Linked DNA regions of Mus musculus. The protein of the gene in region 3 interacts with the protein of the main gene of each other region in a pairwise test. Links are inferred from orthologs where the notes say so. Each region holds a gene or a part of one and is shown on either strand. Other genes may lie near its edges. The genes, in order: Tns2, Rgs20, Otx1, Chic2, Comp, Rgs17 and Adamtsl4.

What was found.
Region 1: the proteins of Otx1 (region 3) and Tns2 interact in binary tests that used the Homo sapiens proteins (3 or more experiments, as listed by UniProt). The two-hybrid records come from large-scale screens. The link is inferred for Mus musculus from reciprocal best matches to the Homo sapiens genes OTX1 and TNS2.
Region 2: the proteins of Otx1 (region 3) and Rgs20 interact in binary tests that used the Homo sapiens proteins (3 or more experiments, as listed by UniProt). The two-hybrid records come from large-scale screens. The link is inferred for Mus musculus from reciprocal best matches to the Homo sapiens genes OTX1 and RGS20.
Region 4: the proteins of Otx1 (region 3) and Chic2 interact in binary tests that used the Homo sapiens proteins (3 or more experiments, as listed by UniProt). The two-hybrid records come from large-scale screens. The link is inferred for Mus musculus from reciprocal best matches to the Homo sapiens genes OTX1 and CHIC2.
Region 5: the proteins of Otx1 (region 3) and Comp interact in binary tests that used the Homo sapiens proteins (3 or more experiments, as listed by UniProt). The two-hybrid records come from large-scale screens. The link is inferred for Mus musculus from reciprocal best matches to the Homo sapiens genes OTX1 and COMP.
Region 6: the proteins of Otx1 (region 3) and Rgs17 interact in binary tests that used the Homo sapiens proteins (3 or more experiments, as listed by UniProt). The two-hybrid records come from large-scale screens. The link is inferred for Mus musculus from reciprocal best matches to the Homo sapiens genes OTX1 and RGS17.
Region 7: the proteins of Otx1 (region 3) and Adamtsl4 interact in binary tests that used the Homo sapiens proteins (3 or more experiments, as listed by UniProt). The two-hybrid records come from large-scale screens. The link is inferred for Mus musculus from reciprocal best matches to the Homo sapiens genes OTX1 and ADAMTSL4.

Annotation. Positions count from the first base shown.
Region 1 is NC_000081.6:102,101,775-102,106,020, reverse strand, and holds the start of Tns2 (tensin-2), read right to left. Parts: upstream 3,088-4,246; 5' UTR 2,935-3,087; coding exon 2,860-2,934; intron 1,492-2,859; coding exon 1,383-1,491; intron 683-1,382; coding exon 645-682; intron 1-644. UniProt on the Homo sapiens protein: Tyrosine-protein phosphatase which regulates cell motility, proliferation and muscle-response to insulin. Phosphatase activity is mediated by binding to phosphatidylinositol-3,4,5-triphosphate (PtdIns(3,4,5)P3) via the SH2 domain.
Region 2 is NC_000067.6:5,016,574-5,020,865, forward strand, and holds the start of Rgs20 (regulator of G-protein signaling 20), read right to left. Parts: upstream 2,967-4,292; 5' UTR 2,807-2,966; coding exon 2,738-2,806; intron 2,162-2,737; exon of another isoform or gene 2,003-2,161; intron 1-2,002. UniProt on the Homo sapiens protein: Inhibits signal transduction by increasing the GTPase activity of G protein alpha subunits thereby driving them into their inactive GDP-bound form.
Region 3 is NC_000077.6:21,996,204-21,998,715, reverse strand, and holds part of Otx1 (homeobox protein OTX1), read left to right. Parts: intron 1-127; exon of another isoform or gene 128-194; coding exon 195-346; intron 347-1,657; coding exon 1,658-2,476; 3' UTR 2,477-2,512. UniProt on the Homo sapiens protein: Probably plays a role in the development of the brain and the sense organs. Can bind to the BCD target sequence (BTS): 5'-TCTAATCCC-3'.
Region 4 is NC_000071.6:75,041,555-75,046,112, reverse strand, and holds the start of Chic2 (cysteine-rich hydrophobic domain-containing protein 2), read left to right. Parts: upstream 1-1,471; 5' UTR 1,472-1,814; coding exon 1,815-1,933; intron 1,934-4,558.
Region 5 is NC_000074.6:70,379,507-70,382,834, reverse strand, and holds the end of Comp (cartilage oligomeric matrix protein precursor), read right to left. Parts: coding exon 3,263-3,328; intron 3,155-3,262; coding exon 3,106-3,154; intron 2,731-3,105; coding exon 2,534-2,730; intron 1,591-2,533; coding exon 1,418-1,590; intron 1,164-1,417; coding exon 1,024-1,163; intron 950-1,023; coding exon 903-949; 3' UTR 769-902; downstream 1-768. UniProt on the Homo sapiens protein: Plays a role in the structural integrity of cartilage via its interaction with other extracellular matrix proteins such as the collagens and fibronectin.
Region 6 is NC_000076.6:5,919,385-5,923,644, reverse strand, and holds the start of Rgs17 (regulator of G-protein signaling 17), read left to right. Parts: upstream 1-1,244; 5' UTR 1,245-1,417; exon of another isoform or gene 1,418-1,810; intron 1,811-4,260. UniProt on the Homo sapiens protein: Regulates G protein-coupled receptor signaling cascades, including signaling via muscarinic acetylcholine receptor CHRM2 and dopamine receptor DRD2.
Region 7 is NC_000069.6:95,684,977-95,689,571, forward strand, and holds the start of Adamtsl4 (ADAMTS-like protein 4 precursor), read right to left. Parts: upstream 2,942-4,595; 5' UTR 2,845-2,941; intron 696-2,844; exon of another isoform or gene 578-695; 5' UTR 500-577; coding exon 480-499; intron 41-479; coding exon 1-40. UniProt on the Homo sapiens protein: Positive regulation of apoptosis. May facilitate FBN1 microfibril biogenesis.

The DNA.
Region 1 (4,246 bases), on a different chromosome or scaffold from region 3:
ACAGGAGTTATATATAGAGCCAGCCAGCCAGGCAATGGCCAGGGGTGGACACTAGCCTCTTTCACCGTTGAGACCCCACCCATGGGCACAGAGCTCCCCCAAGCTAGCTTGAGGCCCTGGGACTACCCCCTGCACTGATGGAGCACCAGGAACGTTCCTCAGAGATGCAGGGCTACCTTAGGTTCTCAGTGGACAGCGGGTACCAGCTACAGGGTATTATACCTGAACAGGCTCAGCTTTCACTACCCAGGATGAGACCAACGCAGGCATCCTGAGGACCCTTTCCTCAGAGGGAAGGCACCTCCCATCAGGGTGCCTGGTCTCTGAAATCTTGCTCCCTCTCTATCCACCCCGCCCTTCCTCCCCCCGCAGCCACCCCCCCTCATCCTCTCGCCAGCTGCAGCCTGGGCACAGCACCAAGACAAACGCTGTCTCACTGTCCACCCTCCTGGGCCAACCCTCCAGGGGTGGAGTAGGGTGTTTCTTAAAGAGCCCAACACAACACCCCTGCCACCCAGGAAGGGGTGTCCAGGAGTGAGTGACAGGGGACAGGGTGACATGGTGGCCCATGCCAGTGAGGCTGAAGATGCCTGTCTGGACAGGGAAAGACACCATCTCCCCATTAGATAGAACCACATACTCACCTTTGCTTCACATTTTCTGTGTGTGGCCACCTTGCAGACTAGAGAGAGAAAGGGTAGAGGTTAGCAGAGGCTTACGGGAATAGTCAAAATAACTGTGCTCCAGCCCCACAGGCCTTAGAAGCCAGCTCTGGGACCCTGGTACACTAGGTTACTAGGAGTTGAAGAACAGAGCTGGTTATCAACAGGTTCTGCTCTGGAGTAAGGGAAGAGGGCCGGGGGTTGGGGTCTAGGATGAATAGAGGTGAGGAGGGGAAAGAGGAAGAGGAGGAAGAACAGTAGGAGGAAGAAGAGGAGGAAGAAGAAAAGGATGAGGAAGAAGAAGAGGAACAGGAAGATGAGGAGGAAGAGAAAGGGGAGGAAGAGGAAAAAGAGGAGGAGGCAGAAGAGGAAAAAGAGGAGGAGGAAGAAGAGGAAAAAGAGGAGGAAGAAGAGGAAAAAGAGAAGGAAGAGGAAGAGGAAGAAGAGGAAAAGGAGGAGGAAAAGGAAAAAGGAGGAAAAAGAAGAGGAGGAAGAAGAAAAAGAGGAGGAGGAAGAAGAAGAGGAGGAGGAGCAAGAGGAAGGGAAGACCCTAGTCACAGGTAAGGATGGGAAGGTGGTAGAGTCACAAATCTCCTGGGCTGTGGCAAGGTGGGTGTCAAGAAGAGTGAGGGCATTTGTTTCTGAATTTGCCTGTCTCTAGAGCCTGAGCCACACAGAAGTGCTGCCTGGAGGGCTCAGGCACCAAGAGCACCACCTCACCTCGGCAGGAGACACCGGTCCCATCGATGGTCACCTTACACACTGCACACACTGGAGTTTTCTTCCGGAAAACCTTCTCCCGGAAGCTGTGTGGTTCTGCTTTCCTCGGCTGCGGGTGGGATGACAGACAAATAGGGGTATGTGTTCCTAGTGGGCTCATCTCCAAGGCTGGGCAGGGACCTTTCCTTAGAGCGATGCTGCTTCCCTCTCTTCCAGCCAAAAGTCTGTGAACTCTAAGGCACACTTGGCCACAGCTGTTTCAGGGTAGTCATGAGGCCTGTCCTCTACAGGGCTTGGAATGTGACCCCTTGCGTCACCTTGGCTGGGTCAACTCCTCCCTAAGGGTTCACTCAGGACTTCTCACGTGGCGGAGCTATGTGATGTCCTTGTCACACACACCCCCACTTCCAATGTGAGGGCTTTCTGAATCTTGGCAGAGTGGGGGGTCTGACTCTCCTCCCATCTTGCCCTCCCCACAAGAGGCTTGTATACTGTGAGCTGACGGCCAGGACACACAAGCACTATCACATAATACCCAGACTGACTGCAGCCAGTTCTGAGCCCCTGGCTCTCAGTGTCCCCAAGCTCCAGGCAGCTAATATGACCCCCTCCCCCACGGTCAGAACAACATGTTTACTCTCTGTGCACTGAGGCGGCAGGCAGCAATTGTCTAAGACGTTCGCTCGGAAGGAGGAATAGCAGTGGGGACACACAGGCAGCTGCCTCGCTGCCTCTGCATGTTATGACAGGGGTGGCCAGGTTCTCCGGATGCCCCCTCCCCACCCAGAGGTAGTGAGGTCAGTGGCTGGCTGGGCTGCCACCAGTTGTCCAGGTCCCCCTTAGTCCCTACTCACTGCAAGTTTTCACTGCAGTTCTGACCCCTCCCACCCCAGTTCATCCCTCCTATCTAGAGTCTGTGGACAATCTCCCTCACTCCTCCCACCACTCCACTGCACATTCTTCACCGCTGTGTGTTCAAGCTCCCGCTGTCCCCTCCTCTCCCTGGATCTGCCCACCGTAGTGTGAAGAGGAGAATAACATGGGAGCAGCGTTGGTCCCTTAACGACTGGGGGCGAGACCCACCAGGACACTTGGACGCACTTGTGGATGATGACGTCGTGTGCAGATGACGTCAGTAGAAGGCACCCTCCCTTCCCTCATTGCCTTCTTCCCATACCTTTTCCCTCAAGCTTCCCCCGGAGGTCAGGGCTTGAGCTCTTAGCTGAACCCTCGGGGCCTATCCAGGCTCAAGCCAGGAAATACACAGAGAAGTCAAAACAGATGCTAGAATCACACTGCTACCCTACCCTAGCCACCTCAGGGGGTCAGGCGAAAGAAAGAGGAGGGGGATGCTGAGCCAGCCAGGAGAAGAGGCTGAAACTAGGAAGAGGGTCTGGTCTGGCCTGAATCCTGGCCCTCCCGCCTTGTCCGCACCTCCACCCTGCCCCACCTTTGCCCAGCTGGTGGGCACTCCTACCCTGCTGGTGGCCCGGCTGCTGTCCCTCCTCCCCAGGGCTCTGAGCAACCTTTCCACAGGGCCGCTGGACTTCATGGTGTCTGGCTGGCTGGACTCTTGGCTGCAGGGCCTGAACAATGCTGGGGCCTGGCCTGGGGCTTCCTGGAAGCAGCCTGCCGAGGCAGCCGCTTCCCTTGGGTGGAGGGGAGGCTGTCTGGCTGGTGTGTGGAGAAGCCTGGCCCTGGAAGTGGAGGGAAGTGCAGGCGGGAAGGGGGCAGGTCGCTGCTCCAGGAAGTGGGGTGGGGGAGGATGTGGGGGAGGCCAGGAGATCAGATTCCCAGGATCTACCCTGCTGGGAGTGTCAGCCTAAGATCTCTGGCTCTCCCCATCTCTGGAGCTGCCTCCCACCCAGTGGGCCACTGTGTGCAGGGGGTCTGCAGTCCTGAGATCCAGCCCTGGAATCAGCCAGTGGCACAGGGTGGGAATTCAGGTCTCAGGGCAGGGCTCAAGGGCCAGTGGAGAACACTGTGTCCCCGGCCAGTCTCTAGCCTGAACCCTCATGCTCCCTTGGGATTTCCTGTGGGAAGGGAGTGTTGCTGGGAACCAGTACCCCTGACAGCCCAGCACTCCACATCCTCAGGGTGAAAGAAAGTTAGGGATGAGGGCTAACTTCCCTGTCAGACGGGAGAAGGATCTTATAGTACCCTCCTCAACGCCAAGTTCCAGCGGGAAGGGCTAAGGGCTTACAGGAATGGTCCATCTTGCTGTAACCCAAAGCACTGGAGGTTCCTCCTGAACACCCCAGCTGCTCCTCTCCAGATACAACCCACAGTTCCTGGCTTAGCTCCCAGATCCTGCACCTGAGGTTCTACTGGGGACCCCACCCGCCCACCAGAATCTGAGCGCTACCTTCATGGCTCTTCTGGCCTGTCTCTCCTTCCTCTGTGGCTGTCACTGGACCCGAGGACTGGACAGGAGGCCCCCTCCCAACACATACTCCACCCTCTCTAGGGCCTCCTGCTTCCCTCCTGGGAATAGGGCCAACTTCCTGTCCCAGGAGTCAAGGGAAGGAGGTGTATGGGGCCCTTGGAAAGGATGGAACAACCTTCCTACAACAAGGGTCAACAGCCTGGGGGTTCCCAGCCCAAGCTCTAGACAGCAGCCTTTGGAATGCTGTAGCTAGCTGTCATTTGAAAGAATGTACACCGTGTCACCCTCATTTGCATGGTATTTACTGAATGTCCCAGTGCAACTCCTCCAGTTCTGGCACCTCTTGCAGGGTCCCACAGGACTCTCCTCTTTCTGCCTCACGCCCATCTGACAGATGAAGGGCTGCTCTAGTCCTCCCCAGGGATCCTTCAGAAGACCTGTCAGACTGAAGAGTCTGAGGCCTCTTCCCGCTGCATGC
Region 2 (4,292 bases), on a different chromosome or scaffold from region 3:
TGAATGTTTCCTCATTTGTAAAATGAAGAAGGTCGAAGAAGTAATCATAATCATCCTATATTTTATATGATAGATAGCTTTTGGGGTGAATTGTTTAGTATTCTTCAAAATGTTTCTTAAATAAAAGATCAAATACCTCACTTCAGTATTTATATTGGCTATTTTATAAATGCCATGATTTAATGTGTAATTCTTTAAATGTATATTTGGTCAACAAAAGGAACTCTTTTCCTGATTGTCTGAGACAAGGTCTCATGTAGCCTAGCCTGGCTCTGAATTTGCTATGTGAGGGAGAATGGCTTGAGCTTCCGATCCTCTTGTGTGTTGGGATTACCTTCATGGACACAACAGAAGTTTACACAGCGCTGGGGCTGGAACCTGGGGCTTTGTGCATTTAGACAAGTGCTCTATCAACTGAAATATATATCTAGCCCCCATAAACCCAACTCTTTAAAGCACTTAATCATTACTATTGGGATCTTGTTTGTTTGCTTGGTTGTTTTTGTGTGTGGTGTATTGGAGGGGTGGTGAAGACATGGTTCACAAGGAGGTCAGAGGACAGGTTTGTGCAGTCAGTTCTTTCCTTCCACATTTACATGTGCTTTTGGGTGCCTGGATTTAAATTTAGGTCCTCAGGCTTGCACACTAAGTGCTTTACCTGTTGTAACATCTCACCAAATCCAACTCTTTTTAAAGAGAAAAGTTCTCTTCAAATTATGTTAGATGCTTATATGCAAATATCTCTTATTTATCCACAAAGGGTCCAGGGATAGAGAAATGAATTGTATTTAAATTTAGGAATTGAGAGAAAACATTTACTGCTTCATGCTTTTGATACCAAAACCCTTTTTAGTGTGTAAACATATTGTTTATAGCATATGAAAACAGGCATCATGCTATTGATCTTTATATTCCTTTTTTTTTTTTGAGAAAGAATGACAATATGTAGCTCACTTGATCTCAAGTTCTATATTTTCCTTCCCTAGCCTTGGGAGAGCTGGGGCTAGTGATGCATCCATACTTATATGTTCATAATGTCTTTAGATTTTGAACTCCACTAGGCCCATGTTGCATCAATATAATAACAGTAGGAACAGATTTTTTATTTACAAATTTTATATCTATGCATGAGTGCCTGCATATATGTGGGAACACTACAAGTATGCCAAGTGCCTGCTGAAGCAAGAAGAGGAGACTGGATCCCCTAGAACTAAGGCTACAGGTTGTTGAGAGTACATTCGTTTAACCCATGAGCCGTCTGTCTGTTCAACGATTTGACTAGTTTTTACATAGCACGAGCCCAGAAATTGTGCTGTATTAACCTGCAGTGGCGAGTGGGCGCCAAGGCCATTCAGCCAGCTATCTGGCTGTGAAGTCTTGGAAACCCACAAGAGGGTGGCCTAGAACACAGTCTCTGGAGAGGATTTCCTTTCCAGCACTCTCAGGACAGAAACCCTCCTGCACCACCACTTTCTTCACGCTGTGGCTCTGTTCTCCACCTGAGGGCGCAGAGGCAGCAGTTGCTATGGCCAGAACCCCCTTGCCCGCTTTAGCCCCACGTCCATCAGCAGTTGTGTGAGTGTGGCTAGCTAGCTCTTCTTGCCCAGGTTTTGCTTGCTGCTTATGGACTCGAGGAAGATCCTGACCCAGCCCAGCCCCAGAGAGCCCACCTCTCCCGCGCTCCACCTTCACACCTTCAGACCTGCGCGGTCGCAGCGCCTGTACCCTCCCCAACGCCCACCTTCGGTCGCCCACTCCCTAAGTGTGGAAATCCTTCAGCGCATTGAAACGTCTCCCCAAACACCCACCCCACCCCCGCGTGTGCCGCTTCCGAGGCCTCTCCCTTACCCACTCCCCTGAAGCAGTAGGTGGGGTTAGCCACAGATCTCCGAAAGAGCACACCCTTGTCCCAGGGAGCTGTCTCCCTTTAGGCTCCTTGCCAGCCCAGTTTCCCCAAGTCTGAGGGCACCATCATACAAAGACCCGACTCCCCATCGCTCACCTCCGCGCAGCCTCTCTGCTTCCTACCCGAACCTTCAGTCGCTGCAGCCTCGGCACGTCCTCGGGTTCCAACCTCCCGAGCCCCCCGAGTGTGGGAAATCTAGCTCCCAGGCCCGATAAGGACAATCCCCACCCTCTCTCCCTTAAGTGACTGTTCGGTCTACTCAGTTGTCTGGTGTTGCTGCCCGCAGCGCTCCGGGCGCGGTCTGAGCGCCTACTTGAAGCTCAGCTCCGCCAGCCGGCCTGTGATGCGCTTCTCTGAAAGGGAGGTAGTGCGTTCCGGGAGTGTCACCTCCTCAACCTGCGCTCAAATTGCCCGCCCCGGGTCCTCAGACCGAGGCGCATCCTTCCCCCAACTGAGAGAGAGCCGAGACTCTTCCACTCGCTTGGGCTCTCCCAAATGCTTGGCATGTCTGATGTGCACTTTAGACCTTAATGGCATTTTTCGTCCCTCGCTGAGTCTCAGAGTCCGGACCACCTGCTTGGTGGGTCTGATAATAACCGATCACAATGGTTCGGAGCCTTCCCTCAGACAATGAGATGTTCCGAACTCACAACCCACTCGCCTCAACTGACTAACCCTAAGGGCGATGACCAGCCAGGGATTGCACCACCGGGCAAGGAGAGACTGGCGTCCCAGGTTCCTCGAGCTCCTTCTACTGCCAGGTCCAGGGCTTCGGGGGGGGGGGGGGGCAGGGAGTCAGAGAGGAAGACGAGGAGGACGCCAGGTACTTACCAGGCCAGGGTCCGCTGGGCTAGCCGAAGGGGAAGCTCTGGCCCTCGGGCCTCCGTTGGCCGTGCGCATGCGTCCAGAGTGTGCCTTAGTTTTCTTACACTAGTCAGAGCGGTTCCTACTCCGCCCGCGCTGGCTCTCTGCCACCCGCCCTTTCCTGCGTTTCTGGGTCTAAGCTCCGGAGCTCTTCTCTCTTCCTCCTCCTTTCCCTTCTCTGACTCCTCTCCGCCCCGGCGCTCGCTCGCTTTCCTGGGGCAGGGCAATCCCCTGGCTCGCCTCCTTCTGGCGGCAGCACGCAGCACTCGGAGGCTGGGGGTACTCCCTAGTCCCAAATCGGGCGAGCGGAGCCCCGGTCCTGGCTCCTCTCTTATAATCGCAACGAAATAATGGGTGCGGCGGGAGCGAGCTTTGAGGGTGCCTGTAAGGCCCTTTCTCTTTATCCCCTGGCCTTAGCTTGCGGGGGACGCCGTGGGGTGGGGGCGATCCAGAGTTTGTGAATGAGTACTGGGGCCTTGTGAATGAAGAGATGCTTGGGGGTACGGGGAAAGGTCGCGAGAGGAGCTGGTGCTTTGTACCCCGGGTCTCGCGCCTGTGAACTGCCCGCCCCTGCTGGACAATCCCCACTGAACCCTTTGACCTCAGCGCCACTAACATCCGCCCCCAACTCTCTTTGTATAGCCTTTCTAAGAGATCTGTTCTCCCACTCTAAACAGTGGTCCTACTCAGTTCCGGCCAGCCAGCCAGAGTCGGATGGCCCCACCTGGCGATTGGGATGGCAGGGTGGAGTGTATGTAAGAAAGCCTAAGCCGGGACTCCGGTCTCTCTCAGTCCCTCGGCAGTCTCCCTTTCTTTTGCGACTCAGGCGGTGGGAGGGGAAGCCCCGGGCATTTGCAGAACCTGGCGCCTACCTCTGAGGATGCCCCTCGCCCGGGTCGCCGCAGCTAGCGAAGTAACCCTTGAAGTGAACCCCTGGGGCAGTGCGCCTGAGCTCGGAGGGCTAAACTCAAGCAGCAAAGTGACCTGACACAAAAATAACATCACGTCATTTCCTCCCTCTTCCTGGGAAGAGGAGTGGGGGCATGAACGCGGCTGCGAGCGGTTACAAAGTGCGGGGATGCTTGGGGAGGCTCGAGGGGAAGCTGCAACTACAGTTGGAAAAGATCTTCGGAGGCGTCAGAGGGCTTCCTCTTGCTTCCTAGGATGGTAGAAACAGAACAGATCGCTTGGGAGAAAGTAGCTCTAATGCCTCGGTGGAGGTGGGAGTGTCCGGGAGCCTCAGGTGCCCTTTCCTCCAGTGTGCCCAGCGCTGTGCCAATCTTTCAGTATCCAGGCCAGCCCGGGTGGGCTGGGTCAATCAGGATTAGAGCGAGTGGGAAAGGCTGGGGCCTCCAGAAGCCGAGGGTGGGTTTAGTGGAGTTCCCAGTACTCACGGACTCGGGTGAACTCTTTTCAGTACAGGCGTCCTCTCCTCTGGGCTCCGAATTCGGACTTGCCAGCTTCAGTAGACGACCCCTCGGACGTCGTCCTGGCAGTGCCATTGAGGCCACAAGTAGGAACA
Region 3 (2,512 bases):
TTCTAGACTGGGGCCTTTAGTAGAATAAGTACACTTTGTTCCACCTGTGGCCAGGGGAGTTTTCGTTTGCTCGGAGCTCGGCCCTTTCTTTCTATGGCGGGGGTTCTGAACCTACCAGAAGACTTACTTGTGGCCTCTAGCACCAGTCCTTGTGGTCCACCGCTGACTCCAGGCGCTCTCGCATGTCCCCTCAGCCACCCCGCGGAAGCAGCGACGGGAGCGCACCACCTTCACGCGCTCACAGCTGGACGTGCTCGAGGCGCTGTTCGCAAAGACTCGCTACCCAGACATCTTCATGCGCGAGGAGGTGGCACTCAAGATCAACCTGCCAGAGTCCAGAGTCCAGGTGCGCGCTCCTGGGGCTCTAGGGGTAGGGTAGGGACGCAGGAACCGGTCTGGAAAGATCTGGCCTAGGCTGTCTGATGTTGGGGCCCTCTCACTGACTGCACAGCCCCTCTCCAACTCCCCCTAGCGCTGGGCGTAAGTCTGATAAAAGGGGTAACATTAAAAGGAATGGCTTAGAGCCCAGTATCTATTCCTTATCGCCTGGGCGCTTTCAATATTGAAAGTCGTTTTGTTTTTGGTTTGGGGGAGGCCAGCCATGTTCCCCGGATGTAACTTTCTCTGAAAGTTCGATAAGGGTCTGCTTCTTTGGCTACTACAGAACTGAGGCCTTAGCTCTGAGGCCTTTCTTTCACACCCTTGCCATTCGTCCCGGGGATTCTAAAAGTGCAAGATGGAACTTGGCCACAGCCTAGTGCTCTCTGCCTGGGAATGCGTTCCGCCGGCAGTTTCTGTCTGGTTAGGGAGTTTTCTGCAGCCGAATGGACGTCGAGTGCAAAATCCAGATGCTTGCTTTTCTATTTCTGAGATGAAACGTTCAGAAAAATCGAGTTCTGACTTAGTTTAATTCTTTCTTTACGGTCTTTCGTTTAAACTTCTTTCCCGAAGGCTCGAGAAGGGTCTGGGAATGCAATGCACTGTGCCCGGACTTTCTCCTAGGAATGCGAGTTTATGACTTGCCATTCCATTTGGTATCCCACCTGGAGCCAAAAGGCCCAAGGAAATCTCACCTTTTCCTTCTCGAAAAGCCCCAATACTGGAGTGCTGTTTCCGTCCAGCCTCTAGCTTTGCTTCTGTTCCCACCCAAATATTCGCCCTGACCAACTCCAGTCTCCAGGAGCCGACTCGGTGAAACCCCTCGGGCCCCAGGCTTGGTGGCTGACCTACACTTCGATGTTCTGTATCTCTCTGCTGTTTCCTGAGCTCTGTTCAAGGAAAACAGGGCCTCCAAAGTAAAACGGGGCTGCGGGGAAGCAGCCAACCGCAACAGCTTAGAGATGGCTGAACTTCTGGCTGGACAGACACAAATGTTCCGCCCTCGGGCAGAGTTGCGCTGGGCTTGGGGAGGTGCGCATCCCTCCAGCAGAGGAGGCTTACTAGGGGTTTGCGCAGAAGGATGGGGGAGGGAGCCAGAGCTGGGGACCTAGCACGTGCGGGGGAGGGGACAGGGTCTGGCAGGGCCGGGGACTGGGAGGGGTAGAGGCTGGGATTGAGAGCTTCCCGAGATCCTGGGCGGGGTATGAGTCCGAGGGGCGGAGGAGTAGCTCCACTAGCCAGCCCCCTGATCCCCTCTCCTTCACCCTGCTCACTGTAGGTTTGGTTCAAGAACCGCCGCGCCAAGTGCCGCCAGCAGCAGCAGAGCGGGAATGGAACGAAAACCCGGCCGGTCAAGAAGAAGTCGTCTCCAGTACGCGAGAGCTCGGGTTCAGAGAGCAGCGGCCAGTTCACGCCGCCCGCCGTATCTAGCTCTGCTTCTTCGTCTAGCTCAGCGTCCAGTGCCTCCGCCAACCCCGCGGCTGCTGCGGCCGCGGGCCTGGGTGGGAACCCAGTGGCAGCAGCGTCCTCTCTGAGCACGCCTACTGCTTCGTCCATCTGGAGCCCGGCCTCCATCTCGCCGGGCTCAGCGCCGACATCCGTATCGGTGCCAGAGCCACTGGCCGCTCCGAGCAACGCCTCGTGCATGCAGCGCTCGGTAGCCGCAGGTGCGGCCACTGCCGCAGCCTCCTACCCTATGTCCTATGGCCAGGGCGGAAGCTATGGTCAGGGATACCCCGCGCCCTCCTCTTCTTACTTTGGCGGTGTAGACTGCAGCTCCTACCTAGCGCCCATGCACTCTCATCACCACCCGCACCAGCTTAGCCCCATGGCACCCTCCTCCATGGCTGGCCATCATCACCATCACCCTCATGCGCACCACCCACTGAGCCAATCTTCAGGCCACCACCACCACCATCACCACCACCACCACCACCAAGGTTATGGAGGCTCTGGGCTCGCCTTCAATTCTGCCGATTGCTTGGATTACAAGGAGCCCGCCGCCGCCGCTGCTTCCTCTGCCTGGAAACTCAATTTCAACTCTCCCGACTGTCTGGACTATAAGGACCAAGCCTCGTGGCGGTTCCAGGTCTTGTGAGCCCAGGAGGGAAAGGAAGTGGAGAAGAAACGCAAC
Region 4 (4,558 bases), on a different chromosome or scaffold from region 3:
CAGAACTACCAAGTTAAGCTGCCTCCTGTGTGTATGCTCCATTGGAGCCTTTGACATACCCTCTGACTCCCACCCCCCTAGAGAATTATGGTTGCTTGCCTTAATGACAGAAAAGTTACTGCCAGAGACTGTAACATACATAGTCGCGCGTGCACGCGCACAGACACACACACACACACACACACACACACACACACACACACAGCTGACCACACAGTAGGTTCAGTGTTTATTGAATGAATAAATCTGGGAAAGCATAAGTCTGACGCATCGACTATTTTTCCCTGCCTAGCTCACTGCCCTTTTTTTTTTCCCCAGATCTTTCCAGGATTAAGTTGTCCAGCATTTTCCACTCTCATGTTAACCTTTGTACGTTTTCTGCTTGGACAAAGACCCGTAAACGAACTTGAAGGATGCGAACACTGCGTAGAGAACTGTTTGTGGACACTGGGTCCAGTACAACTCCTCTTTCCTTTCCAGACCAATGAGGAACTCTTGTTACCCCATGGTCCAGTTTGCCGTAGGAGTCCAGTTCTGTTCCTATGTTGTTTGGATGCTTGGCAGACTCTTGATTGTGAAACCAGGTCCAAGGTGATCCATGAGTCCACTGTTCCTCCCTTCCCCCATCCCCTCTTGTGGAGAAAACATTTTTCACTAGAGAGACGAAGCATACAACTGCAACTTCTTAATTGGAACACAGAGAACTTGTCAACTTTGTTAGGTAGTATTGATGGTGAGATTTCTTGTTAACAAACAAACAAACAAACAAACAACCTGGGCTAAAAGGACAGAATATTTGGCTTTGGAGATATTTTGGAAAATCAGGTAGGACAGTAGACAGGAAAGCACTGTTTGCCGGGCAGTGGTGGTGCACGCCTTTAATCCCAACACTTGGGAGGCAGAGGCAGGGGGATTTCTGAATTCGAGGCCAGCCTGGTCTACAGAATGAGTTCCAGGACAGCCAGGGCTACACAGAGAAACCCTGTCTCGAAAAACCAAACCAAACCAAACCAAACCAAACCAAACCAAACCAAACCAAACCAAACCAAACCAAACCAAACCAAACCAAACCAAACCAAACCAAACAACAACAACAAAAAAAAAGAGAATGCACTGCTTTGTTAATCTCAAGTTGGCAAAGTCAACCAACTCTGCTTCGCATCGTGGACTAAAAACGTTTTATTAAACCGGCAGTCAGATTCTCTGGTCCGGCCAGGGGCTTCGCCCGCTGTCGTTGTTTGGGCTACAGATTACTCCAGCCTGGCTCTAGGAGTCGAGTCGGGGTCAGCGCCCCCGATCCTCACAGACGCCGCCTTCCGGGTCGCTGACCCTGGAGCCGGAGGGCGGGGCCGCGCCGGGTGGAAGCGGAGGAAGAGGCCGGCGTCCCGGGAGCGCGCGAGACCGTCCGCGTGAACGCGCCCGCCCGCCCACCCGCGCGCCCGCGCCCACGCCCGCGCCCGCCCGCGCTCCCGGGAAGTCTCGCGATGCGGTAGCCGGCTGCTCCTGCTGCGGGTGGCTCGGGCTGTTGCTGTGGTTGCCGGAGTTGCGGCGGCGACGGCGGCGGCGCTGGCGCGGGCGGCGGCGCTGGCGGGGGTGGCGGCCCCGGCGGATGTTGACATTGTGTTGTTGTTCCTGCCCACGGTAATGGCGGCGGTGGCGGCGGCAACGGCGGCGGCCGGGACCAGGTCTCCTCAGTAGCCGGAGCCCACACTGCCGAGCGCCAGCTCCGCGGCCTCCGCGCCCGCCGCCTCACCAGCCGTTCCCCGCGGCCGCCCCAGAGCCAGGGCCCCGGGCGGGGGGCTCGCCGGCTCGGGATGGCGGATTTCGATGAAATCTACGAGGAGGAGGAGGACGAGGAGCGGGCCCTGGAGGAGCAGCTGCTCAAGTACTCGCCCGACCCGGTGGTGGTCCGCGGCTCCGGTCACGTCACCGTGTAAGGCCCTGCGAGGGCTAGGACGAGGACGGGTGGCGAGGCGCGGGCGGGGTGGGCCCTGGGACCCCTGGGGGTCCTCCTTTTCTTAAACCCCCGTCCCCGGTGACTGGCGCGGGACGGGGGCCTTGGGGGAAGCTCCGGCGATCAGGAAGTGAGAACTTGCTCTGCTTCCATTTGTTTAGGACTCCCAAGTGGGGACAGACACTGCCTCCCCTCCCTCCCACAGCCCCGGAGCAGGCCCCGTGGCCCGCGGGGATGTGTGGGGTCCCAGCCGGGAAGATGGCTCTTTAGGGTCTGCCTGATGGGCCATCGGTACAGGCTAGAGGTGCACACACTCACACACACACACACACACACACACACACATCTTGTGGGATCCATCTTTGTAACACCCCCCACACCCCCGTTATTCTTTGGGACTCTGCCTGACTTACAGCCTATTGACATATGGCTCAGAGGTCAGATCTGAGGTGTTAAGATCCCAGTGGCAGTTGGTAAATGAGATTCACTGTCGTGTGTCTATCACACATAACACGTAGGGGCTTCCCAGTTCCTCAAGAGTAAATTTCTGCAAAACTGATTCGAGTTGCTGTCAATTATGTATGATAGAAGTATACAGGTGGACGGAAAAAAAGAGGAGGATACATCTGTTTACAAGGAATTACAAGTACCGAGTTTCCTGTAATCCGGTCTGTTTTGGGACACGGACCTAGGTTGGCTTCTTTGATAAGGGCCCCTGTAAGGTTTATTAGCAACATCAAAAGTCCCAATATTATTCAAACAATAAGGGATGAAAGCATTCTGAAAGGTCGTGACTAATAAAGGAATGTAGACTTGGGGCAAATAATGAGTTGTCCGGAAGAAGGAAGTTTTGTAACATTTCCCTGATAAAATCCGGAGTTTGTACAACTTAGGGTATTGATACTCCTTTGCAGCTGCTATCTCCAGTTGAAAAGTCATCGCTCAAACTTCCTGTACTTGCATATCACTTTATCACTGATAGAAAAAGGCAGCGAGCCTGAAGCTGTCTGGAGCGCTTGTCATTGTTTTTTGGTGTAGGGTGAGTGGGGCGTGCTGTGGGCAAGGCGGTCAAACAGTGAGGCTCCTCAGAAGATCGGCCCTTGTGTAGTCATCCTGACTAGCCTTGTTGTTGTTGTTGGGGTGTGCTTATGTAACACCTTGGTGTCTTCGCACCTGTTAACGTGTGCATTTAGGTGATTTAACAGGGTAAAAACACTGCATAAGCATTGTTTCAGTACCTGGATAAGGAGATGGGACTTCGCACCATAATAACTGCTCTGTTTTAACTGTCAACACAAACTTAATTAAGGAATATAGCTAATTATGAATAATACAGTTTAAATGTATATCATAATGCTTTTAGTGTTATAACCTGCTATTTAATTTTTAGTTTAACTCTTAGGACTTTTTTCTTTTTCTTTTGAACTTAAGGACTATGGGTGCTTTTAAAAGCAATTACAAACAAACAAAAAACCGACACAGTGATAGTCCCAGTACTCAGGAGGCAGAGGCAGGTGGATCTGTGAGTTGCAGACTCCCCTGGTCTTCAGGGCTACATAAAGGATTTCTGAACTTTTTCATGTTGTCTGTGGTCATCCTTAAACTCCTCCTGTCAAATCAAAGCTGGCAGAAATTTATTTGCAGAGGTTCAGCTAGGGCTGGAGATGTAGCTCAGTGTTAGAGTGCTTGTCCTGGGTTCAGAGTAACCAAATAAGGTTCAAGTGCAGTTGTCATGTCTCTTCTGTTCAAGAAGAAGAAAAGCTAAACATGTTGTTGGGAAATAGAATAGTCAAAGTGCTCAGATAGAAAGTTGGATTGTAGTTGACTATTTGGAGTGGTTAACAAGTGTGTGAAGTAATTATTAGTGGTCTTTTCATCTTGTCTTTCAGAATCACCTGGCTTGTGCTCAGGAACTACTAGCCTTTATTATTATAAGCATTAGAAATAAAGTACTTCCATTTGCAGGACTAACAGTCATTTAGTCTAGTTTATCTGCCCATTAAGATCATGTGGGGAGCATCCGCTGGTGTTCCAGCCCTCTTTTTCCAGGCCAGTGGCCACATATGAGTGGAGCTCTTGTTCATGAATAGGCTTGGATGGGGTTGGAGGAAGGTCTTGGAGGTGGTTTTGATTGTACCTCGGAATCTGCTGCAGACACTAGTGATGGTGGTGTTTGCCACCTTTGCAGGAAGCCTTAGTATGTTTGTGACCTCCCTTAGACACTTCTGATAGGTAGTAACCTTCCTCTGCCACTTTTATATAAATCAATCACTTGTGTCTCCTCAGTTCACAGGATGACAGCTTTAGTTCATACCTTTCCAGATTAAGGGGTGAGATAATGTATACAGAGAATACGTGAGTGTGTGTCTTGTGCTCAGGAAACACTAGCCTTTGTTAGTTATTACCCTCCTCAGGTGGCGCTCTGCTTTGAGAAACATTTGTGTAAAATATAGATTAAGAATTCAACATTGCCATTTTCAAACCAAACCGTGGTTCATTTAGCTAATTCTCTTTTTACTTTGAACCAACTTTTGGTCAGCAAAAGCCAAACCCTGTTTTGTGGTGATACAGAATTCTATAATAATGTAAAGCTTATGTATGACC
Region 5 (3,328 bases), on a different chromosome or scaffold from region 3:
GGTCAGGGTAGGGATAGCAGCAGAACCCCCACAATGGGACCAGCAGTCCCTTCTGCACTCAGCCTTTCCTTGGGGCTAGGGATCCATCACATGGGGTAAGGCCTAGCCTAATCCAACCCAGCACTTCTGGTCACAGGGGGACATGAGGACAGGGCTGTGGCCATAACTCCAGAGGCCAGGCTCCTGTTTCTCAGGCCCCATCTCACCCCTTAGTTGGAAAAAGGACGCCATGGGCTGGGGTGCCCCTTTGATATATGCAAATGGCTGGTTCCACATTCCCCTCCCCGTGCCCAGGCTGGCTCTGCCCCCGGCATGCGCACTCCGCTGCGGATGTCTGTGGATCGTGCGCATGGGCACCGCAGTTGGGGGTCAGGTTGCTCAGGGCACGCACGGCCGCCCGCCCCACCTTCTGGCGCAGACGCTTCTTTGTATTTTTGCGCCCTTTGTAATGAAATGTAATAAAAACCCAATGTTTTCGTCTGGGCCTCTTCCTCTTTTTCCAATCTCCCTCCAGGTTACCTCATCTTCCTGTGGCTGAGCCCCACATAGGTGTGAGCCCCTTGAACACCTTCCACTGAGCCATTCAGTGACTGGGGTTCCTCAAACTTGGAGGCAGCCATCTGCTCTTACCTTAGAATATTCCAGGGCTGTCACCACCTGTAGTGAATTGCATGCCCCTGACAGTCTCAGTGACTAGAGTACAGACCCTAGGGCCTCCTGGAGGCCCCTCCACAAAGTGCCCCTTTAGCAGCGACCAAAGCCAGCCAGTCCCCCACATACGTACTTTATTTGCCTCTCCTCCCCAGGCCAGACACCCCTTCAGAGGGATGCCAGACCCCCCCACACACACACCCGTAGCTTGTGCCACCACAGTCCATCAGGCAGCGGGACCCCACTGGTCCCTAGACTCTCTGCAGCCGGTGACTCTCGTAGTCCTCAGGGATTGTATCTGCAGATTGGAAGGCAACAGGTGAGAGAGGTTTCTGGAGCCTTTTGGGTCCAGCCTGCTGGCCCCTCGCTCACCATTGCAACGGTAGCGCAGGTTAGCCCAGATGATGTTCTCTTGGGAGAAGCAGAAGACACCCAGGCGGCCACCACGCATGGCCGTGTCCAACACCACATTGCTGTCAGCTACTAGCTCAGGACCCTCATAGAACCGCACCCTGTGATAAAGGACTATTGAGGTTGGGTTCCCTGCTTGCCACCCCCTTCATCTTTAGTTCCCACTCAAAATAAGGGCTGGTGTTGGGGCCCCTGCCTCAGTTTCCCTCTGTGAGAATGTATGTCAGGTGCCCTGTACATAGGAGGTATTGGGGTTCTGGCATCTCCCCGTAAGACCATGATGTACTGTAAACGGAGCCCGTTTCTCCTGGAGCAGCAGCAAAGCACAGCTCAGCAGCAGCAGGGCCGTGCCCACCTGATGTAGCCAACTTGAGGCCGGTGCTGCAGGAACCAGCGGTAGGATGTTTTATCCTTCCAGCCCACGTTTCGAGGATCCTTCCACAGCAGCCGCACCTGGGATGCTGTGTCCCCCGTGTGCCACAGTGCGTTTCGGAGCTGTTCCCCGGGACCTGTAGAGGACTTGACAGCCTGCCACAGGCAGGAGAGGAAACAGATCAGAGCCCTGTCTGGTAGATCAGGTGGGAGTTATGAGTGGTTGGAGTATAGGGAAGGTCCTTGCTTCAAGAGGGCAAGTGAGAGCTCTTGGCTGGACCACTGTGGGTAGTGGAGCCAGGAGTCTGTGTGAATTCTGGAAATACAAATACAGGGATACCTTAGGGGATCTAGAGGGCCTGGCTCCTTATTAGGAGGCAGCAGCCTGCTGGGATAAACTGGGGTCTACAGACCTGGGGACCTGTTGTGAGGTGTTTATAGGAGGATCTGGGGTGTCCAGGGAAATCTAGGGCTCTGTGACAGGCTTGGGAGCCCAAAGGGACATGTGATGATCCCAAGGAGTAGTTCCCCCCCCCTTTTTTTTTCTTTTCTTTTCTTTTCTTTTTTCTTTTCTTTTTTTTTTTTTTTTTTTTGAGACAGGGTCTATCTTCAATTTTTTTCTCTCTGAGTATGCACGTTTCTGAACCTGTGTGGGTGCATGCACATGTGCACGAAGGGCAGAAGCTGTCGGAGTCATCCTTAAGTAGCTTTTCTATCCTGTTCCATAAGGCCTGGGGTTTCCCAGTGTGGCTAGTATATCTAGGGATCCTGTTTCTACCTTTCAAGGCTGGAATTACAGGTGGATCACCATCCATACCCAGCATTTAGGTGGGTTCAGGGGGGTCCAAACTCCAGTTCCCTTGAGTGTGCCCCAAGCACTGTAACAAGGCAGTGTCTTCTCTGACCCTCCAGAGAAGGTATTTATGGGTCTGAGAGGATTTAACCCCGTGGCAATGGTGGTGGGAGGGTGGGGGCTGGGCACGAGAATGAGGAGTGGTGACAACTTTGAGGGGCATGGGACAATGCTGGAGGGCTACGAAGGCATTGGCGGTGAAGGCTGAGGAGTATATAATGTGTGTGGGCACAGCCCAGCCAGCACCTTGAGCTGAATCCCTGGCTCAGCCACAGCCCGGAAGGGATTGGCCTGCCAGTACGTCTGCTCCATCTGTTTCCACATGACTACGTAGAAACTGGAGCTGTCTTGGTAGCCGAAGATGAAACCAGCATAGTCATCATCAGTGGCGGTGTTTACATGGAATGTGCCCTCGAAGTCCACGCCGTTGAAGGCTGTGTAACCTGTAGGAGGGGAGAGGAAGGGGGTCTCCAGAAGCATGCTTGCTCTGGACACCTCAGAGTCAGGCCCTGACCCTCCAAACAAGACCTGCTTCTCCAAACAAGGCCACACCCCAACATAGCATTGGCCACATCCTCAGACACTTCCAATCCCTAGCTCTCAGGGGTCACACGTCCCACAGCAATGCCCCAAAGGCCCCACCCAGCCCTTCCTAGATCCTGACCAACCAGCCCCGTCTCTCCATGGCCTATGACCCACCCACCTATGACCACTCAATACAAACTGCCATTTGTCCTAACCCCCTTAGCCCTACTCTTCCCATGATTAGAGTGGCCAAGCCCTCCGTGATCACGCCCCATAGCCCTGCCCCGCCTCACCCACAGCCAGGCCAGGGTCACTGTTCATGGTCTGAACGATCTCCATTCCCTGGTGAGGTCAGAAGAACAAGGGGCTCAGGCCAGCGCCGAGTGGTGGAGGTCTTGCTGAGGCGGCACCTGGGCCCCCCCTAGACCGCTACCCCAGCCCTAGCCACACCTGATTGAGCACCACCCAGTTGGGATCGATCTGCGCATCACCCTCGGGGTCCAACACAACCGTCTG
Region 6 (4,260 bases), on a different chromosome or scaffold from region 3:
CAAGAAAGTGCACTTTCAGGGTATTAGTATCCAAAGCAGTAGATGTAGCTGAATAAAAAAGACCCTGAGTTATATTAATTGAAAGTTGTGGGGCTTTCTCAGGTGGGCTGGAATGCCAACAGTATTTGCACACTGGAGGACCCCTGGCAGGGGAGTGTCATGACATCTACAAACAATCAGTTCTAATTAGCTGTCAGGGAAGAGCCTAGTCGTTCCCGCGGGAACTCTCTCATCTCCACAGATGTGAAATCTAAAGAGAAAGATATCTGCTTTCCTCGCTCCCCCTCAGAAACACTTCAGCCTAACCACAGGAGGCACAATCTAGTACTTGGCATGCAATAAGCATCTAGGCTCCTTCACCACCAAGCTGCGCTCTGCTGGTGAGCAGAAAGATTGACAATTCCTGTGACTGCCAAGTGGTCCAATAAGGACGCTTTAGGCCCCAGGTTTCCAAACCGGGCTAAGAGTTCTTCTTTTTTTTTTAATTAGATATTTCCTTTATTAACATTTCAAATGCTATCCCGAAAGGTCCCTATACCCTCCCCCCCGACCCCCGCCCTGCTCCCCTACCCACTCACTCCCACTTCTTGGCCCTGGCGTTCCCCTGTAGTACTGGGGCATATAAAGTTTGCAAGACCAAGGGCAGGCTAAGAGTTCTTGACCCCTGCTCTGCCTTAGGTTTCTCTCGCTGAAAACCCCAGCTCCAGTGGCCCAGAGGGTACACATATCTAAGACCAGAGAGCGCCTGGAGGGATTCCTGGGTATTTCTGGGTAAGCCATCAATAACGCAGAGTCTAGAACTTACTTAACTTTACCTTCTCTTGAATCCCCCAGGCAAGAGGGTTGAAGCAAGCCCGAGGCTAAGGGAGCCTGAGTGCCTGAGAGGCTTGCAAGCATGGTCCCAGGGACTAGGTGAACATACATGGGCTTTGGGTAAAAGTGAACTGGGGGGTGGGGGAGGAGGTTCCTTCCCACAAAGTGTGTTCTCTCCAAGAAGCACCCCTGACCCCGACCCTCAACGCAGAACCTCCCCCACTGCTGTCGCCAGAGCCGCCTGGGCACAGAGACACTGACACTGTGAGCTCTGTCGCCGGGCGGGCACGCCGGGAAGGGACGCGACAGTGACTCACGCATCCGAGCGCCCGCGGGAGGGGAGGACGCCTCACCTCCGGCTGCGCGGGGCGAGGGGCTGCGCCTGTCTCCCGGACGCATGCGCTGCAAGCTGCTCCGCTCCCTCCCCGCCCACCCCAGCCTCCTCCCTCTCTGCTCTATCCTGGCCTCTCTCCCTCTCTCCGTCGCCGGGTGCTGAAGTTGGGCGGATGGCACGGAGCCTGCTCCGCTAGAGGACGGAGCAGCCCACTCTCGAGCACCCTCGGACCCGGACCCCGGAGCTCTCGCCCACATCTAAGTCTACCCGGTAAGACGCGACCTCTGAATCCCGGAGAGGATAAAAAAAAATAAAAATAATAACATGAAAATGTCTGCTTTGCACTGATGGGTGGGCTTGATTTTTTTTTTCTCTTCTTTTGCTCCCCCACCCCCACGGCGAGGGGGAGGTAGGATAGAGAGGGCGGAGGGGGCGCCCGCTGCCTGTGCCCTGGCTGATAAAGCAGTGGGGCGCGCGGGTCTCGGCGGGCAGCACCGCCCCGCGGCTCCGTGAAGTTGAATCCCGCGTGGTCCGCTTCAGGGCCCGGTCCACTCGCGTCCCCGGGCTCTGTGGAGGGACTGAACCGCTCTCCTGCGGGTCACGGCTTCGGGTGTCCCTGCTTCTGCGGGGAGAAATCTCAGCACCTTCGGGGACCTGGAGGAGGTGAGAGGGTGCTGCGGTGGCGGGTGGGGGAGCGCTCAGGGGTTCGGGGTCCCCAGGCTTTTCATAGCTGTTTGGTTAGTAGAGAATCGATGGTGAAAATAAATCGAGATGGTCTCAGCCGCGGACTGCCTCGATGGTCTCATTTCTCCCTTTATTTTTTGGTGCCTTTAGGGAAAATAAAGATTCAGGTGCAGGTGATGTCTTTACAAATACCTTGAGCAGCTGCTGTGTGTGTGCGCGCGCGCGCGTACGTGTGTGTGTGTGTGTGTGTGTGTGTGTGTGTGTGTGTGTGTGTGTGTGTGTGGTGCAGAGGTGAGAGTCTCTTTTGTTTCTCCCCCACCCCCTTTAGTCCAGAGAAAGCGAGTTCTTGTGTACTCTGCACCTGGTCTGTTTTACAGCAACCAAGGGGGTGAGGACCAGGAACGCCTACCAGCCCCCAGGCGCTGCCCCGCTTGGGTGCATTACAGACTCCCTTGCTGTGAGATCTGGCTCTCCTGATTATGGACGGATCACAGCTTCTAGCTGTCTCCTCGCTAGCCTGCCTCCTTCTCTCTTTTCTCTGGCTGCCGCAGAGGCTGGGTGCAGACACACTTTCCTGTTGTTTCCTCTTCATCCTACCTCTGTGTCTTAATGGAAAATGTCGGAGGACCTGAGGATGGCGGAAGGACAGAGCAGTGAGCAGTGGGTGGGGACCTGCTCCCGGCCAGCAGGAGACTGCTTGCTGTGCGTCTCAGGCAGTCCTTGCAGCTCACTCAGAAAACAGACTGAGCAGGGGTCACCTGGTCTAAAGGATGCTAGCGCAAGACCACCCTGTGTTCTCTTCCTCCACTGAGAGATGAGAATGCTCGCTCACTTGGGAGATCCTGGTCACCCAGGAACCCTGCCCCTGGCTCTGGGCATAGAGTTTCCAACACGCCCCACTCCCTACAGACCCTTCAGTAAATTCATCTTTCTAAGTCTTGTCTGAAGAACTTTGCAAGCTTTTAGCTGTCTCTTTCTGTCTTTTAGGGGGGAGGAGGGTGTTACAGCTGGATTCTGTCCATCATGGGTTGGCTATCACAGATAAAAAGAAACCTCAGTTGATAAACACTTCTGAGACTGGATTCTATCTGCATTTCCGGCACTCAGACACACTGGTTTTCAGGGTGTTGAACCTTTCTGCAAACCATTTAATTGACAAAATGAGAAATAAATTTTACTCCTACAGTGAAGACGATGTTTCTCTCATAGGTTCAGAGCTGCTAGATGCTGTATGTATTAAAGAATTTGCAAACTGCAAAGCTCTTCAGTTCCTCGTATGCATGTCTGAAGTCTGTCGTAGTAACAGCAGGTGTATACAACGCGTGCACTCTAACCGGGATAACTAACCAAAGGGTAATTCAGACTCACCAAGACACACAACTGGGAGGTTTGATCTTCTCTTAAGTTACTATTATGAAGCCATTTCTTCTGTTAGCATGAACTAAACCAGGAATTAGCCCATCCCTGACGACATAAATTTATTTAATTTTAAGGTCTGTATTTAAGGCCCGCAGATCAGGTTCATTGGGGGTTTTGGAGCTAAGAAAACAAGTGTTCATTATTACAGGAAAAGATCGGGAGTCACTTTGTTAAGCGAGATGCCTCTCCTTAGTGATAACTGAGCCCAGATCCCAGCAGCCTTCTTAACTCTGCGAAATTGTCTCTGGAAGATAAAGAAATGCACTCACTTTAAAACCAGCAGTGCAAAGTGTTCATTTTGCCCATTTCTACTATTTTCTTGTTGTGGTGCCTCAACTTCTCCTTGGGCTAGTCCCTACTTTGGGGTCTGTGCTCATTTCTACAGCAAATAAATGGCCTTCCCTTCTTGTATTTGGAGGACCATCCTATCAGGATTTAGTTCATTTAAGCTCATAATGTTAATGTTCTAAATCCACCTTCATTCCCAAGGACTTCTTATACTTTTTCATAATAAATCTCATTAGAATTTCGTACCCCAGAGCTAGACACTTTGAAAACAAAACAAAACAAAACAAAGCAAAAATCGGCTCTTATTTATTTAGCCTTATTATACAGCTGAATAAAAATGGATGATCTCCATCCTAGTTGGTGAGCATTCCGCTGCCACACCCAGGGAAGAGAGTCAGGAAGAACCGAGGTGTGAATGCTCTGCTGGGAAGGTAGTGGGTCCCACATTCCAAGTCCATTTGCTGAACTGCATGGTCCTCCCTGGAAAAGTGGTCACCAGCAGAGAAGGGCGGAGCTAAGAGGGATAGGAATCCATTTCTGCAGGAGATTCTTCCGATACCCTAGTTCTGTCTATAGATCAATGAAGATACTTCATTCTTCAGGAGAAGGAATGAGAGGACCAATGAATTTGTCTCCTGATTACTACAGAGCATACTGTGGGGTTTTATGGAGAGTTTAAAACAAATATGTCATTTCCTCTAATGGGACATTTCCTGTGAGAT
Region 7 (4,595 bases), on a different chromosome or scaffold from region 3:
CTGAGGGAGAGGCAGGAGCAGCATCATACACAGCCAGAGCCTGCACACCGAGGGGTGGGGGACATCAGAGGGAGCCAGAGGTGTTACGACATTGCCTGCCCCCACCCAGCTTCTCAGGAAGCAGACGTCCCTTGTCACTTGCCAGACCCCTTCCAACAGTTCACAGTCCCTTCCTGTGTGCGTGTGTGTCCCCCCCCCCCCCTCTCTCTCTCTCGTGTGTCGTGTGTGTGTGTGTGTGTGTGTGTGTGTGTGTGTGTGTGTTTGTGTGTGTGTGTGTGTGTGTTGAGACAGGGTTTCTCTGTGTAACAGTTCTGAGTTCTGAATGTCCTGGAACTCACTCTGTAGGCCAGGTTGCCCTCAAACTCACAGGCATCCACCTGCCTCTGCTTGAGTTACAGGTGTGCACCGCTACCCTCTGCCCCTTCCCTGCCCTAATGGAGACAGAGCTGGTCCTTTCCACTGCTACCCCTCTTTCTTACCTGCCCAGCCAAGATTCCATTGCTCTTCCTGTGACTGCCCCTGGGCTGGGGAGCAGGGGACAGGGTGGCTACTCTGGCATCGGGGCTTGGAGGGTGCTCTGAGGAGGGAGGAGCATGGCGTTACCCCTCCAGCTATCTGGGGGGACTGAAGGGCTGTCTCAGCACAACACCAACAGCCTGGAGGGGTGGGGGAGGAATGGTCCACCCCTTTAGGACCTAAGGGTGGGAGCAAGAAGGGACGTTGTCTTTGTCATCTGCTAGAGGGTGGGGGGTCTGACCTCAGCCTCTTAGTTCAGTTTAGTCTCCTCCCTATGGCCCAAGATGGACTTAGCTCCTTTGGAGGCTGATGTGGGTGGGGGTAGGGGTTGTGCATAGGCAGCTTGGGCCAGAGCTTCTTTCTCCTAGAGCTCTAGGGCCTAGAGGAGGCAGGCTATGCCAGTCACCCATGAGGGGCCAGCCAGAGGCCTCCGGGCACCAGGGGTGGGGTCACAAGCCTTAATTCCACAGTTGGGATGGAGTTCAAGGGGTTCAGCTTGGGTGATATGGGACCTCTATCACAAAACAAACAAACAAACAACAAAAAAAGGAAAACCAACCTCCTCCCGCTCACAGAACCCAAGAGCATTTGTTTCTTTTCCTTTTAACTAAGCTCCTTACGGAGGACAAGGCTCATACAGGCTGCCCCGGGCATTTTTTTTTGTCCAAGGGATAAACTAAGTGGGTTAATGGCTTCATCTCCTGAGAAGAGGCAGTGACTTATCCTCCCCATGAGTGCCAGCATCCACAAGGCACTGGCTCAGGGTGACTTAGCTCATGTACAACTAGTTTTCTGCTTTTTTTTTTTTCCTTACAATGCTCAGCCAAACTGGGACACCTAAGAAGGAGAGATGTAGCCATAGCAGCCCATGCTTGCCAGGTTCTCCCTCCCGTATCCCTGGAAAGTCCACCCTTAAGTCTAGCTGTAAACACTGGGTAGCAGGGGTCTTCATACCTGTCCTCAAATCTTGTCTCTCCCTACCCCCATCCTCCATTCCCTGCCTTCTCTTTGAGGCCCCGCCTACCCACATCCTCATCCCATCTAAGTTCTGCTTTCCAGGAAAAACACTGTTTCTGCTGCCTTTGAATGGCACCATGAGAAGAATCCAAGGATCGCTGGCCAAAGTAGGCCAGATCAGGGCATGCAAAGGACAGAGAGGGGGGCAAAGCTAGGTCCTGCTCCCCCTCCCTGGGACCCCAGGGCTTGGGAATTTGAGGAGGAGACCAAATGGGCTGAGCTGAGTTCTTGGAGCTAGGGAGGAGGTAAAAGGCACCACGTCCTTCTTCAGTTGAGCCAGCCACTGAATCTACGACTTCCCTGATGGACGAGTGGCCCTGTTCAACCCACTCATCAGCCCTCTGCCTGCCCAGTGAGGCTGGAAGGATGGGGGGTGTGTGTGATGGACACAACCTGTCTGATGCTGGTCCCCTCTCCACCTCCCTCTGCGCCTCTCTGCTCCTCCAGTCTGTCCCTGATGCCTCTCCGTGGTCTACCCAGTACACATAATCCTGTCCTGAGCTGGTTTTGGCAGCTCTCTGGAGAAGTGAGGGGTGGGGGGTGACGAGAACTCCTGGGGCTAGGGCCAGGCCTGGCTCCCTCTCTGGAAAAGTCCACCCCACCCTCCCCTGCATAGGGGAGCAGGAGCCGACACCCCCCCCCCCCCCCGCACAAATGTATGTTTGTCCTTTCTCCACGCCCAGGGTGAGGAAAATGAGGTTGGAAGTGGGCATCCTGAAGTCACGGTGGACCCTGGCTGAGCACAAACCTATGCTGCTCCTGGTCACACCCCCTTGTGGGCCAGTGACACCAAGGAAAGTGACTTGCAGGGTGCTAACCCCTTCACCCCAGGCTCACTTCAGGCAAATGAGCCAATGCAGAGTGGACGGGTGGAGGGAGGGTTAGTAAGGGCTGGGCTAGCAGAGGAGAGATGCTGTCCTGTCAGAATGCCAGGGTTTTCACGGCATCCCCCCCCCCCCAAACATCCCAACAGGTGTCTTTTCCCTCAACCTCTCACAACAGATTGAGTTGTGCAAAGAGCACTCACCCGCATCCCTCCCGGACACCCTATCCCTGCGTTCCCAGAGTACAGGCGTCTGGTCGCATCTTCCCGAAGCCCCTCAGGGAAGAGCCGGCTGTGCCGGCGTGCAGGGAGGTCCTGGGTATGTTTTCCAACTTCACTATGTGACTTAATAGGAATCTTGGCACAAGCCCTCGCCCGGGTGATGGGACTCGGAGTCCCAGGGACCAGACCCCCTCCCCAGGAATTCGCCTTAGGGTCCGCTGTTCTGAGACAGTCAGAGCCCAGGCGGGGGGTCGGGGAGGTTCTACCTTCTCTGCGCCCGCTCTCTCCAGCTGCCTCTGGTAGTGGCCACCGCGGCCCGGAGCCCCAGGACAGCGCCGCCCGCGGCAGGCTCCGCCCCACGCCACCCGTGCCCCGCCCGCCACGCGCCGGACTCAACCACCCACCCCGGGTGCCCCGTACAGCTAAAGAGCTTGCAGCCACGCTGTGGACACGGTTCCCGCGCCCGCCCCGGGGCTCGAGACCCCACCAACTCTGGCAGGCTCCTTTTGGTTGGAGCCTGTCCTCGAAGAACCTGGGCTAGCCCCGAACCAGCAAGGGGATTTGCAAACTAGACCCATGTAGCCCTGAGCAAACTCAGATCTGCTCAAGCCAAGGCCCTCTCCTCCATGCAGCCAATGCCATCGCCTCCGCTTTTCCCATACTGGGCAGTGAACCATGTGGCTCTGATGGCCAGGGACCTCTCTGAGCCTCGGTTTCTTCATCCATAAAATTTTACACCCTGGAGCTTAGCGGGAGGAATGCACGCTGAATTATGAGTCAGACAATTTGGATTTGAATTTCAGCTTGAGCACTTGCCAGCTCTGTGGTCTTTCATGAGCACTTCAACTTCAATGCGGCAGTGTCCTCTGTAGAATGGGAGAATTTGATGTGTATATTAGGCTTGGAAATGTTTATCCATCTCCATGTGGAAGAATGACTGAGGAGGGGTGGGGAAGGGATGAAAACAGCTTTCAGTTTTTATGCTTTTTATTCTATTCATATGTCTTTTAATGGATTGTTGGTTTGTTGTTTGTCTTTGAGGCAGGGTCTCGGTAGCCCTGTCTGGCTTGAACTGTGTAGACCAGGCCAGCCTTCAACTCATGGAGATCCACCTGCTATTGCTTACTGCAGTGTTGGGATTAAAGGCCTGCCTATGCCTTGCCTGTCCAACCTCGTAACTTCTTTGAAAAACAAAAACGTATAGGTTGTTCGATACTAGACTGGTCTTCAGGGTGAATTCCAGCTGAGGCTGGGCGGGGGGTGGGGGTGGGGGAGAATATATAGGGAATGGTAGTGCATGTTTAGCACTTGGGAGGCTGAGGCAAGAGAGGGGAACCACTGGTTCAAGACCAGCCTGGGAAATCCAGCAAGTTCTAGGGCAAGCTGGGCTACAGAGTGAGACCACCCTAGTTTCAACAATGAAATACCAGAGCAAGGTTAGAGAGATGGCTCAGCCATTGAAGGCCAGGCTCACCACCAATGTCAAGACACTCAAATACAGAAGTTGTAGCAACATATTGTCTTGCAACCCATAAAACAACAGAGGGCCCTGGTGCCCCCGGCTAATGTTTCCTAGTTTCTTGGCTATATGTTACACTTTGTGCTGAGGGCACAGAAGCTAGTTTAAGTCCTTAAGTCTCCAAGTCTAGTTTGAACAGATCCTGCCAGTGAGAAATGATCACTTTGGAGCTGACATGTTAACTGTGGAAGCAGGGTCTATCCCAAGGCAGTGGGTGTGTATATAAAACAGCCCTATGTCTGGGGGTGTAATAATGCGCTGAAGCAGAGCTTTGCATGCAGGATGCTCTGGGTTCTGTCCCCAGCCGTTCCCAGCACTGATCAAGGCAGAAAGATATTATTTGTTATTTAGACAAGGTCCTGCCACGGTAGGGCCGATTGACAGGAAACTTGCTATGGAGCCAAGCTGACCCCAAATTTGAACTTCTCTTGCTTAGCCTGAGTCTGGGATACAGTATTGGGATGATCCAGATTTTAACTTTATTTGAAATTTAACATG